Bombyx mori: one gene and its partner. The protein of the gene in region 2 purifies or fractionates together with the protein of the main gene of each other region. This does not show direct contact. Links are inferred from orthologs where the notes say so. Each region holds a gene or a part of one and is shown on either strand. Other genes may lie near its edges.

What was found. The genes of interacting proteins can lie anywhere in the genome.
Region 1: the proteins of constitutive coactivator of PPAR-gamma-like protein 1 (region 2) and RNA-binding protein 45 purify together in Homo sapiens (co-immunoprecipitation; 3 studies listed by BioGRID and IntAct, with this or other methods). This does not show direct contact. The link is inferred for Bombyx mori from reciprocal best matches to the Homo sapiens genes FAM120A and RBM45.

The regions. Positions count from the first base shown.
Region 1 is NC_085121.1:997,826-1,002,543, forward strand, and holds RNA-binding protein 45, read right to left. Parts: upstream 3,016-4,718; 5' UTR 2,723-3,015; coding exon 1,262-2,722; 3' UTR 1,209-1,261; downstream 1-1,208. UniProt on the Homo sapiens protein: RNA-binding protein with binding specificity for poly(C). May play an important role in neural development.
Region 2 is NC_085128.1:7,953,750-7,958,388, reverse strand, and holds part of constitutive coactivator of PPAR-gamma-like protein 1, read right to left. Parts: intron 3,756-4,639; coding exon 3,605-3,755; intron 3,518-3,604; coding exon 3,392-3,517; intron 3,290-3,391; coding exon 3,178-3,289; intron 2,304-3,177; coding exon 2,079-2,303; intron 1,616-2,078; coding exon 1,388-1,615; intron 798-1,387; coding exon 637-797; intron 1-636. UniProt on the Homo sapiens protein: Component of the oxidative stress-induced survival signaling. May regulate the activation of SRC family protein kinases. May act as a scaffolding protein enabling SRC family protein kinases to phosphorylate and activate PI3-kinase.

The sequences.
Region 1 (4,718 bases), on a different chromosome or scaffold from region 2:
AGGATCCACGTTCCTGCAGCGTACGGGAATATGGGGAACACAACTGCCCGAACTAGTCGTATTTTTGTGACCCTATTTAAGTTGCAATTCCTTCATATTTTCCTCAACCTTATTCATGCGGTCGAAAATCATTATTTTAGGGTGGGGTGCTGGGTACTGGTGGCGAACAAAGTGTATAGTGTGCGGATAAGTCACCTTGTTAATTAAAGTCTCCTGCTAGAATGACCGCATTCGCCCCATGCTGAGCAGTGCCTCGATGTTGCAACGCTGAAGAACGTTAACTTATTTTAAATGAACAGGGTTTTAAACGTGCGTTGTATGCCATTGAGAATTATTTATTTGTCCCGATAAAGTGCGAGATTCGGACTTAAGTGCCGATACTTGCCCGATCCAGAACTTTGCTTATCGTTGCATCAGTTCGAGTATGTACATCTGTTATTATAGTTAAATTTCTCTAGTGAGTATTTGGATTCATTAAGTGGTAGGTACCGCGAAGCAATATAACTGAGATTTCAACCTCTATTTTTAGTGTTGGACATATACCTTGTGATGTCTATGGATTTCGTCAAATGATATTAAATCTCCTGGAGAAAAAAGTAATAGTACTCTTATACGAGAATTAAAAAAAAATGCTGTTCGACACTGAAATCTTTGTTCTAGTAATGAATTCATAAAAAAAATCAGTATTTAATTTATTTATTTAAGTTATGAATTACATTCTTGTTTGTGTCACTTTCATAAAATATATTATTGGTGTCCATTGAGATATTTATTTCCCCCCTTTTGGTGACTAACAGTACTAATTTACTGGTGGTAGGACCTCTTGTGAGTCCGCGCGGGTAGGTACCACCACCACCCTGCCTATTTCTGCCGTGAAACAGTAATGCATTTCGATTTGAAGGGTAGGGCAGATGTTGTAACTATACTTGAGACCTTAGAACTTATATCTCAAGGTGGGTGGAGCATTTACGTTATAGATGTCTATGGGCCAGTAACTACTTAACACCAGGTGGGCTGTGAGCTCGTCCAACCGCCTAAGCAACAAAAAAAAATTGTTAATTTTATTTTGCAAATTGACATACTTGCTACTTTGTAATAAACATTTAACAGCAGTTATGAGGGGTGACACATGATGTGCTAAAATGAGGACATGTGGTCGCGATCGTCAGCAGCGAGGGAATGATGAAGTAGAAGAAGAGGTCAATCAGTCAGTTTCAAATATCATAAAAAATAATTTTAATTTACTACAATTACAAAACTGTCAGTCTTTGTTGTTTAACTTCATCCGTTTTCTCTCTATGTCATCATCATCGTCAACACACATCTTCTCTTTCGTATTTTTTTCCTCAGCCTCCAACACTTTCAGATTCACCCCACATAAAGTTGCACCATTTAGAGTTTTAATTGCTTCCTGTGCTGACTTCACTGAATCATATTTAGCAAAAGCAAAATTCTTGTTAGGGTATGTCGTTATTTCTATGAGGCCACCAAATCTACAAAAAGCATTCATCAAAGCTGCCATGGGAGGTGGATGGGGTCTAAAGACTAAGAAACATCTCTGAGCGACTCTGCAGTTACTGCTAGCCAAGGGTTTTATAGGGGGAAGACATACATTACAGAAACCATCATCTTTATCATCTATTGGGCTTTTCCTTCCAATTGTAGCTGTTTTTATTAACGAGGAAGCCTGTGCTATGGCATCTGCAAGCTGCAATAGATTTGGGTTTCCATCTACAGAGTTTTTAATATTATTAACTATGTTATTCAAGGTAGAAGTTGCTTTGGTGAGTGGGCTAATGTCAGGTTTAACACTGATAACCTCTCCAGATGGATATTCAAAATTATTTATAGTTTCGACAGAATAAGCTGCTGCCTTTTGACTGTCATATGTAACTGATGCTCGACAAACACGGTTACCTTGGTCCATAGTGTATTTAAATTCAATCATTCCTGGTACAATATTAAACAGTCTTTCAAGGTGTTTTTGTAGCACTGGTGGTGTGCATTTAACTGACACAGTGTCAAAGTCTTGTTCTTTAGTCTTTGAAATTAATGTCAAATAATCTTTATTAAACTCATCGTTAACATGATGGCCGTGATCAGCATAAACATGAGATTTAGTTAGATTAGAATTACTGGAATAGCAGTCAAGTCCTTCTAAACTGTTCCTGGGCCTTTTAAGCTCATCTTTCGGTGTGGCAAAAATAGCTTTATACGTTTTATCACACTGCTCAAACGCTTTCGCAGTTTCCGAAAAAGTTGTAAAATTCACATAAGCAAATCCTTTACTTTCGTCAGTCAATTTGTCTCTCTGTAAACGCACTGACTCAACTTTTCCATAACTGGAAAAATATTGCCGAATTTCTTTCTCAGTCATCGTTTTGGGAACTTTGATAAATAGTCTTCTGTATTTGTCGTAACTGTTACTTTGATAGTCATTTTTGTCAGAGGCGACCATAACTTTGATGGGTTTGTGATTGTCAAGTAAGGTAGTCATGTGTAATTCCTCTATGGCAGTGGCTGCTGATGATGTTTTAGCATATTTAATGTAAGCGATACCTCTAGTCTCGCCTGTGTTGCGGTCCCTTGGTAGGTACATGTCTTCAATTTCGCCATACTTTTCAAAAAACGGTCGTAAGTCGTGTTCGCGGTATTGTTTGCTGCAAACTATGAAAATTCTGGAATATGGTGGTTTGTCGTCGTTGCGTGCCACATGGTTCATTTTGTATAACGTAGGTTTGGGTAAGCAATTGTAGCACAGTCTGGTTTAACAATAGGTTCAGTCAAAATCACGTCAAAATATTAAACGAAATGTAATCTGTCTAGTCTGTCGTCAACTGTTTCTTTAACTGATTAATTATTTACTGATTTACTACATAATACATATTTCAAGATATTCAACTTTTGAAGTTTTAGAATAAAATAAAGAAGATACGGTACTCAAGCAGGTACCAACGATACATACATACATTAATATTGTAATTTTATATGGTACATAAGAAGCTACTTTTTTTTAAAAGGATTTTATAACCTGGTAACTAAGACCTTTAAGTCGTCTTATTATTATTATTTTTATTGCCTTTGTAGGCAGGCATACGGCCCACCTGATGGTAAGTGGTCACCGTCGCTCATGGACGCCAGCAATGCCAGGGGCAGAGCCAAGCCGCTGCCTACCATAAAGTACTCTCCGCAAGCCTCGTTTGAAGAAGGACATGTCATAGCGCTCGGAAAACACCGTGGAGGGGAGTTCATTCCAAAGCCGGATGGTACGTGGCAAAAAAGATCTTTGGAAACGCACTGTCGATGAACGCAGCGGTTCCAGATAATATGGATGAACTCTGTTCGGATGGCGGGAGGTGCGATGATAAAGAGGAGATGAGGGGATCATCTCGAATAATTCCTCAGAGCATTCCCCATGGACCATACGGTATAAAACACAGAGAGAACCGAAGTCCCTCCGTAGACCCAGAGGTTCCAAGCGATCCGCGAGAGCAAGACTATCGACCATCCGAACAGCCCGTTTCTGTATGGAGTCAAATAGAAGTAGCTGGTATTTGGGAGCCCCGGCCCAGAGGTGAGAGCAGTACTCCACGCGAGGTCGGCCCAGGCGTAAAATACCGCTTCGCTCTGTTGAGGACTCTCAACATTTTAGAGGCCAATTTGGCTTTACCTTCCAAATGACTCCGAAACTGGACATCGCTCGAAATATCGACCCCCAGAATCCCGATACTCGCGGAAAGCTGCGGGGCACTCCTTGAAATTCCAGCGCCATGACAAAAGGGTCCTTCTTCGCAGTGAACGCGCAAACCTGTGTCTGTGTCTGTGTGTGTGTGTGTGCAATGGGTTGAACTGAACTGAATTTAGTTCACCCCACTTGGAGACCCGCCGCAGAGAGTTCTCCACTTCAGACACAAGTTTTAATCGCCTCTCGTGTACAACGCAGCTGTCGACGACAACTGTGATGCTCCGTCCAATCCAAAAAGCTAGCGATCCACTTGCAGAGTCCCTCAGGGATTCCGTAAGCTGGAAGCTTCGATAGAAGTGCCCTATGCCAGACCTTGCCGAAGGCCTTCGCGATGTCAAAGCTCACAGCGAGAGCCTCGCCCTTGCTTTCCAAGGCTTCAGCCCATTTATGTGTGAGGTATACACGAAGGGTAGGCAACGCACTGGCTTAAACGCTGGTGACCGTGGGCGGCGGTGAATCACTTACCATCAGGTGACCCGTCTTGCTCGTTTGCCTCTCGTTGTTATAAAAAAAAAAAAAGATTGCCAGCTGAGCGATATTATAATTTTAATGAAAACTTTTTTTTATATAAAAAATGGTATTATGAAATTAAATAAATGAGATGATATGGGATGAAATATTATCAGTAAAATGGTGGTCATTTACTGAGATTTTTGCAGTGGACTTTTTGAAGGATCCCGAGAAGTTCGTCCAGCGGCTTTGTTTAATTTTCCCACATTTGTGCACTTTCACAGATATTAAATAGTTAATAAACCACCGTTAAATGTGTACATTTAAACCTGAAGAAACACTATTGACTTGACTATTTGTCAAAATAAAACAAATCGCTCCTCGCGTTCCCGCCAAAAAGTTCGTCAATATCATAATGGTGTGCCACAGATTCAGTATCTAACGGACAAGTCTTCGACGATTGTTGGAAATGTTGGAATACTTAGCTGTATGGCCTATAATGCATTTGCGTGTCTAATGGACG
Region 2 (4,639 bases):
CGCAAAGTTTCAAGTCGAGATACTTTTTTTTTTATCAAATACGTTCACTACTTTTATAAATTACACCACAAACATCATATGATACTGACAACCCAGTATATGATAATAATATGGATATACAGAAATAATAATGTACAGTAGTTTGGGGGGAATAGAGACTTGAGTTAGAATAGGAACAAATCTGGTATGTCACAATACTTTTTTTGAGTTGGTAGATTTAAGTTTGTAGAATTGAAAATGACTTTCATTTAGTGCTTAAGAATTTAAATAACTTAAGATATTAAATAGTTTAATTTAGTCATCATGTTTTGTAACTCATTAAAGATATTAAAAAGTTAATTACCTAAAGTTAGGTACCTATCTAACAACTAAATAGTGCCAGCCCTATCGAAAAACTCTATTGTCCCCATACGTAACCTGATTCACCCCAAAGCCAAGGTGAATCGGGTCAAGCAAGTTTTTTCAGTTTTTGTGTATATTTTGTAATAAACTATGTATCGTATATAAGAATTTAAGCCTCCCGGAACTATTTTAATCTCAATTTTATTGGTATTACCCTAAGAAAAACCATTGAAAATTTGTGTTGGATTTGGAAAGGGTCCCGATTCCCCCCAATCTACGGTATGGTTAAGTTACCCATTAACGGCAATAGTGGCTGGTTTGGCGGGCTCGTTCGGGTCCCGGCGGGGGCGGCGCGAGGGGCGCGCGTGTCCCCGGCCGCGACCCCCGCGTGCTCCGCGCCACCCGCGACCTCCGTACGAGTTCCGAGTCGGAGGCGTGTATCCAACGTAGCCCACCTAGCATCAAGACCAAGTTTGTTTTACTAGCTCCAATGCAAGAAAATTACAACCTCCACAATTTTCATTAGGAAGTGGGCCAAATAATCAGTTTTTTATAAATAATTTACGATGCTGTGGATTTTCTGATGACATGCACCATTGTCATGTACGAGTTTGTCTTTTCACATAAAAATAACACACAACGATACAGACCCGGCGTCGGATTAGCCGAGCCCCAATTTAAAATTAAGTGCGATATCAGAAATGCATGCACTAGTGCTCATGGTATCCTGTGGACGATGGTGGTGCTTGTGTCTAAGCAGTTTATATGCAAAAGTGTGAACACCCAGTAGTTTTATACAGCCAATTTTAATTCAATATTTAGCTCCCTTGTATCCCTTGTACTCTGTATAATTAACAATAAATTTTGCTAGGGTTAGTGTTAGCAACGTCGTCAGATTAAGGCCTCGTGAGCTCACCTACTTGTTAGATTACGCTGACATAGCCTCTCAACTCAAGGCTATCATCAGCTTAGGTAGAAAGAAAAAATACATTAAATTAATTCTTAACATACATTCATAAACTAGTGAAAAGTAAAGTTGAATTACAGTGTGCGCGCTCATCTGTTGGTATCTGGGCGGAGCGCGTGCGGGATAGCTGCCGCCGCCCCACTGTCCGACGACAACGCCCGCGATCTCAAGCCGGCCGCCGCGGCCCCGCCCCCTCGCGCCCCACGTGCCCCCGTCGCTCCCTAGCACGCCCGCCACGAGCGGCAGCGGCGCCATCGCGAACTCCACCTCCAGACCTTCCAAGATCGCCTTTCGCATGCGCTCAACCTGGAGATAAATATATCTATGATTATCTGAGTTCTAAAATATTTCGGCAGTACTGAATACTATGGAGACGAGCTCACAGCCCACCTGGTGTTAAGTGGTTACTGGAGCCCATAGACATCTACAACGTAAATGCGCCACACACCTTGAGATATAAGTTCTAAGGTCTCAGTATAGTCACAACGGCTGCCCCACCCTTCAAAACGAAACGCATTACTGCTTCACGGCAGAAATAGGCGGGGCGCTGGTACCACCTACCCATGCGGACTCACAAGAGGTCCTACCACCAGTAATTAGATTAATAGAACTGCAAAAGTCTCAGGATATAAAAAGGGACTTGAAGGGCAGGACTCAGCAGTAACAAAAAATACATTCAATTAACTACAAAGCTACTCAAAATAACTTAAAAAAAAACAAAAAAAACTTGTAGAATTTAAGATAAAGCAAGTCGATATTATCGTATTACCTTGACGACGATGTCGAGGTTGTTATCGCAAAGCTGAGGAAGATGTTTGCAGTGTGCTGCGCGATGGAGGTTTCGCTGCAGCAGCTTGCCATCGAAGTAGAGCCAGGGTGAAGCTACGAGCCATGGTACAGGAGCACCGCAAGCGTCATTAGCCACGAGCGCCGCCTCCACGCCCGCCATCACCAGCGCGCCTAATTGTACGCCCCGGGAACTGATAGCATTGATCTGTGTAAATAATAAAACAATTTAAACATTTTTTGCTAAGACAGATGAGATTGGAACACAGCAAGATAAATAGATAAAAATCTGTAAGATACCAATTTTTGTAAAAAATATTATAAATATGACCTAAAACTTCCTAAAATAGATCACAATGGCTATTACTAATAATAGAGCACTGTGAATGTTTATGATTACTGTATATCAATATCTGTATATACATATATATAGTTGAAATATTTAAGCGCGATATTTTAATTCATCTAACATATTTTTTCATGCAGGAAGAGAAATATTTGGTCTTGCTCCCTATTTTTAAGGGAAAAAGTCACATTGTGCCTTTATGTTAAGCTGTAGAAAATTGAAAATAGACATTTAATATTGTGTACTTGTCTTTTTCTTGAAACATTTATATTTTAACACTTAACTACGATTTTTTTATCTTTGTAATTTTAAATAATACTTATTTTCATTTGAGTTTGAGTTTTTTCAATTTTTTTTATTGACCTTTGTAGGCAATCCAGGAGTCGAGTCAGGCAGTCAAGCTTTTGTCTAATAGGGTGGAGGTGAACCCCACCGTTTGGCTCCTTGATATATTTATCAAACGATTTAAAAATAATCGCATAATATACATTATTTATATTTCATTCGCCAATAAAACAAATATTTTTAAGACGTAAGGGAAGTAGCGTCATTTGGGAGTTTAAGCAAAAGTATCCTCAGAACAGGGGGTTACAAAGTAATAATTTTGGTATGTGAGTAATATCTACTCTTTTTACTCTTGACAAGCTTTTACTATAGTTTATACAGACCAGATAGTAGAATATCCAGATAGTAGAATATACTATCTGAACAAACAGTAGTTTATCTAAATACTTACATTCATTTCTTGCAAATGTAGTGCATTCATAAGATCTGTCGAAAATGCAGTAGCTAAAAATGCATCCAGCTCTTGCCTTCGTAGTATTTGAATTGGAGATGTCATTATAAATCTAAAATATAGACATATTTGCATTAAATATGAAAACAAACAATATCATACAATGAAGAGTTGAATCTGCTTATCTTCAAAAAAAAAATTTATAAAAATTTACCTCAATACAGTTGCCAGTATGAGCAAGTGCTGGGGCACATAAGTAGTATTCAACATCAGAGGAGTATCTGAGCGCATACAGGAAAGATATGCTCTCATTCTACGGCATTTATCATCCGGAGCAGTTCTAAAATAAATATTTAAAAAAATATTTGTAATTACAGATTACATTTAGCTATAGTAAATTTAAAAAATACTTTGAACACAAGCTCACCCAAACCAGAGCCTCTGTACAGTTGGCACAGGCCAATCCAGTAAAACACCTGGAACAATCTCTGGATTCTTGCCAGGATTTGTGCGGGTGTATATCCATTCTGCTATCAAAACTGTGCATGGACGATCATTAGAGCCACTCGATCTATCATCTGAAATTTAACAGTTCAAACCATTATTTACCATAATTTTTTTTTATTCCCATTGAATATGATCAATGACTTTAAGCATTCTGACTTGAATTTCAAATTCATATTTTCATAATCTTATACCATAACAGTAAACATCTATATTAATAATTGAACTATGATTCTCATACTGACTGTGCAAATTGAATTACATTAAAACTTTGTTGTATCTTTAAAAAGCTTATATGGAAACAATAGCTCCATGCCATGAACATCAATGTAAAATCAGTTATATACATCAGTTGCATAGATCAATTTTAATCTGTAGCAATCTTCGATCAACAATAGTAACCAGATTTCGGGTCGGTGCAGAAAATCCGTCTCGTCAAATAACAGCTCACTTGAAATGTGAGCTCTTATTTTGTTTAGACCACTTCAAACACAGCCAATGTCAACTCGTCTCGCAATGCCGCAGTGTGTATTCAAAAGTTGCAAAAATAATGCCCGAAAAGCAATTTAACGGCCGCAGTATCTTACTTTCGGTAAGTATATGAAGTACAAACTATATTTTAAGCTTTAAACTAATAAATAATATTAAATTTTGAACAAAATTACCGTTTTCTAACCACCGCTACAAACGTTGGCCAAGGCTCGGCCAACACATGGACAAACTTTTGTTTAACAGAACAGTAGATGCATGGAGTAGATTTGTATTGTAATAATTTTTAAGAATTTGTTAGCAGTACTTCAAAATTAGTTGCTTAAAATTGGTTAATGCTGCTTTTGTATCTGTTTGTTAGACTCTCATTAGCTACAAGTTAGCTTTCCTTTTTTATTTTAGCTTTCCTAGCAATCACGTGTGCAGAATGGATCTCGATTGTCGCCAGAGAAACAACTGACTTATAAGC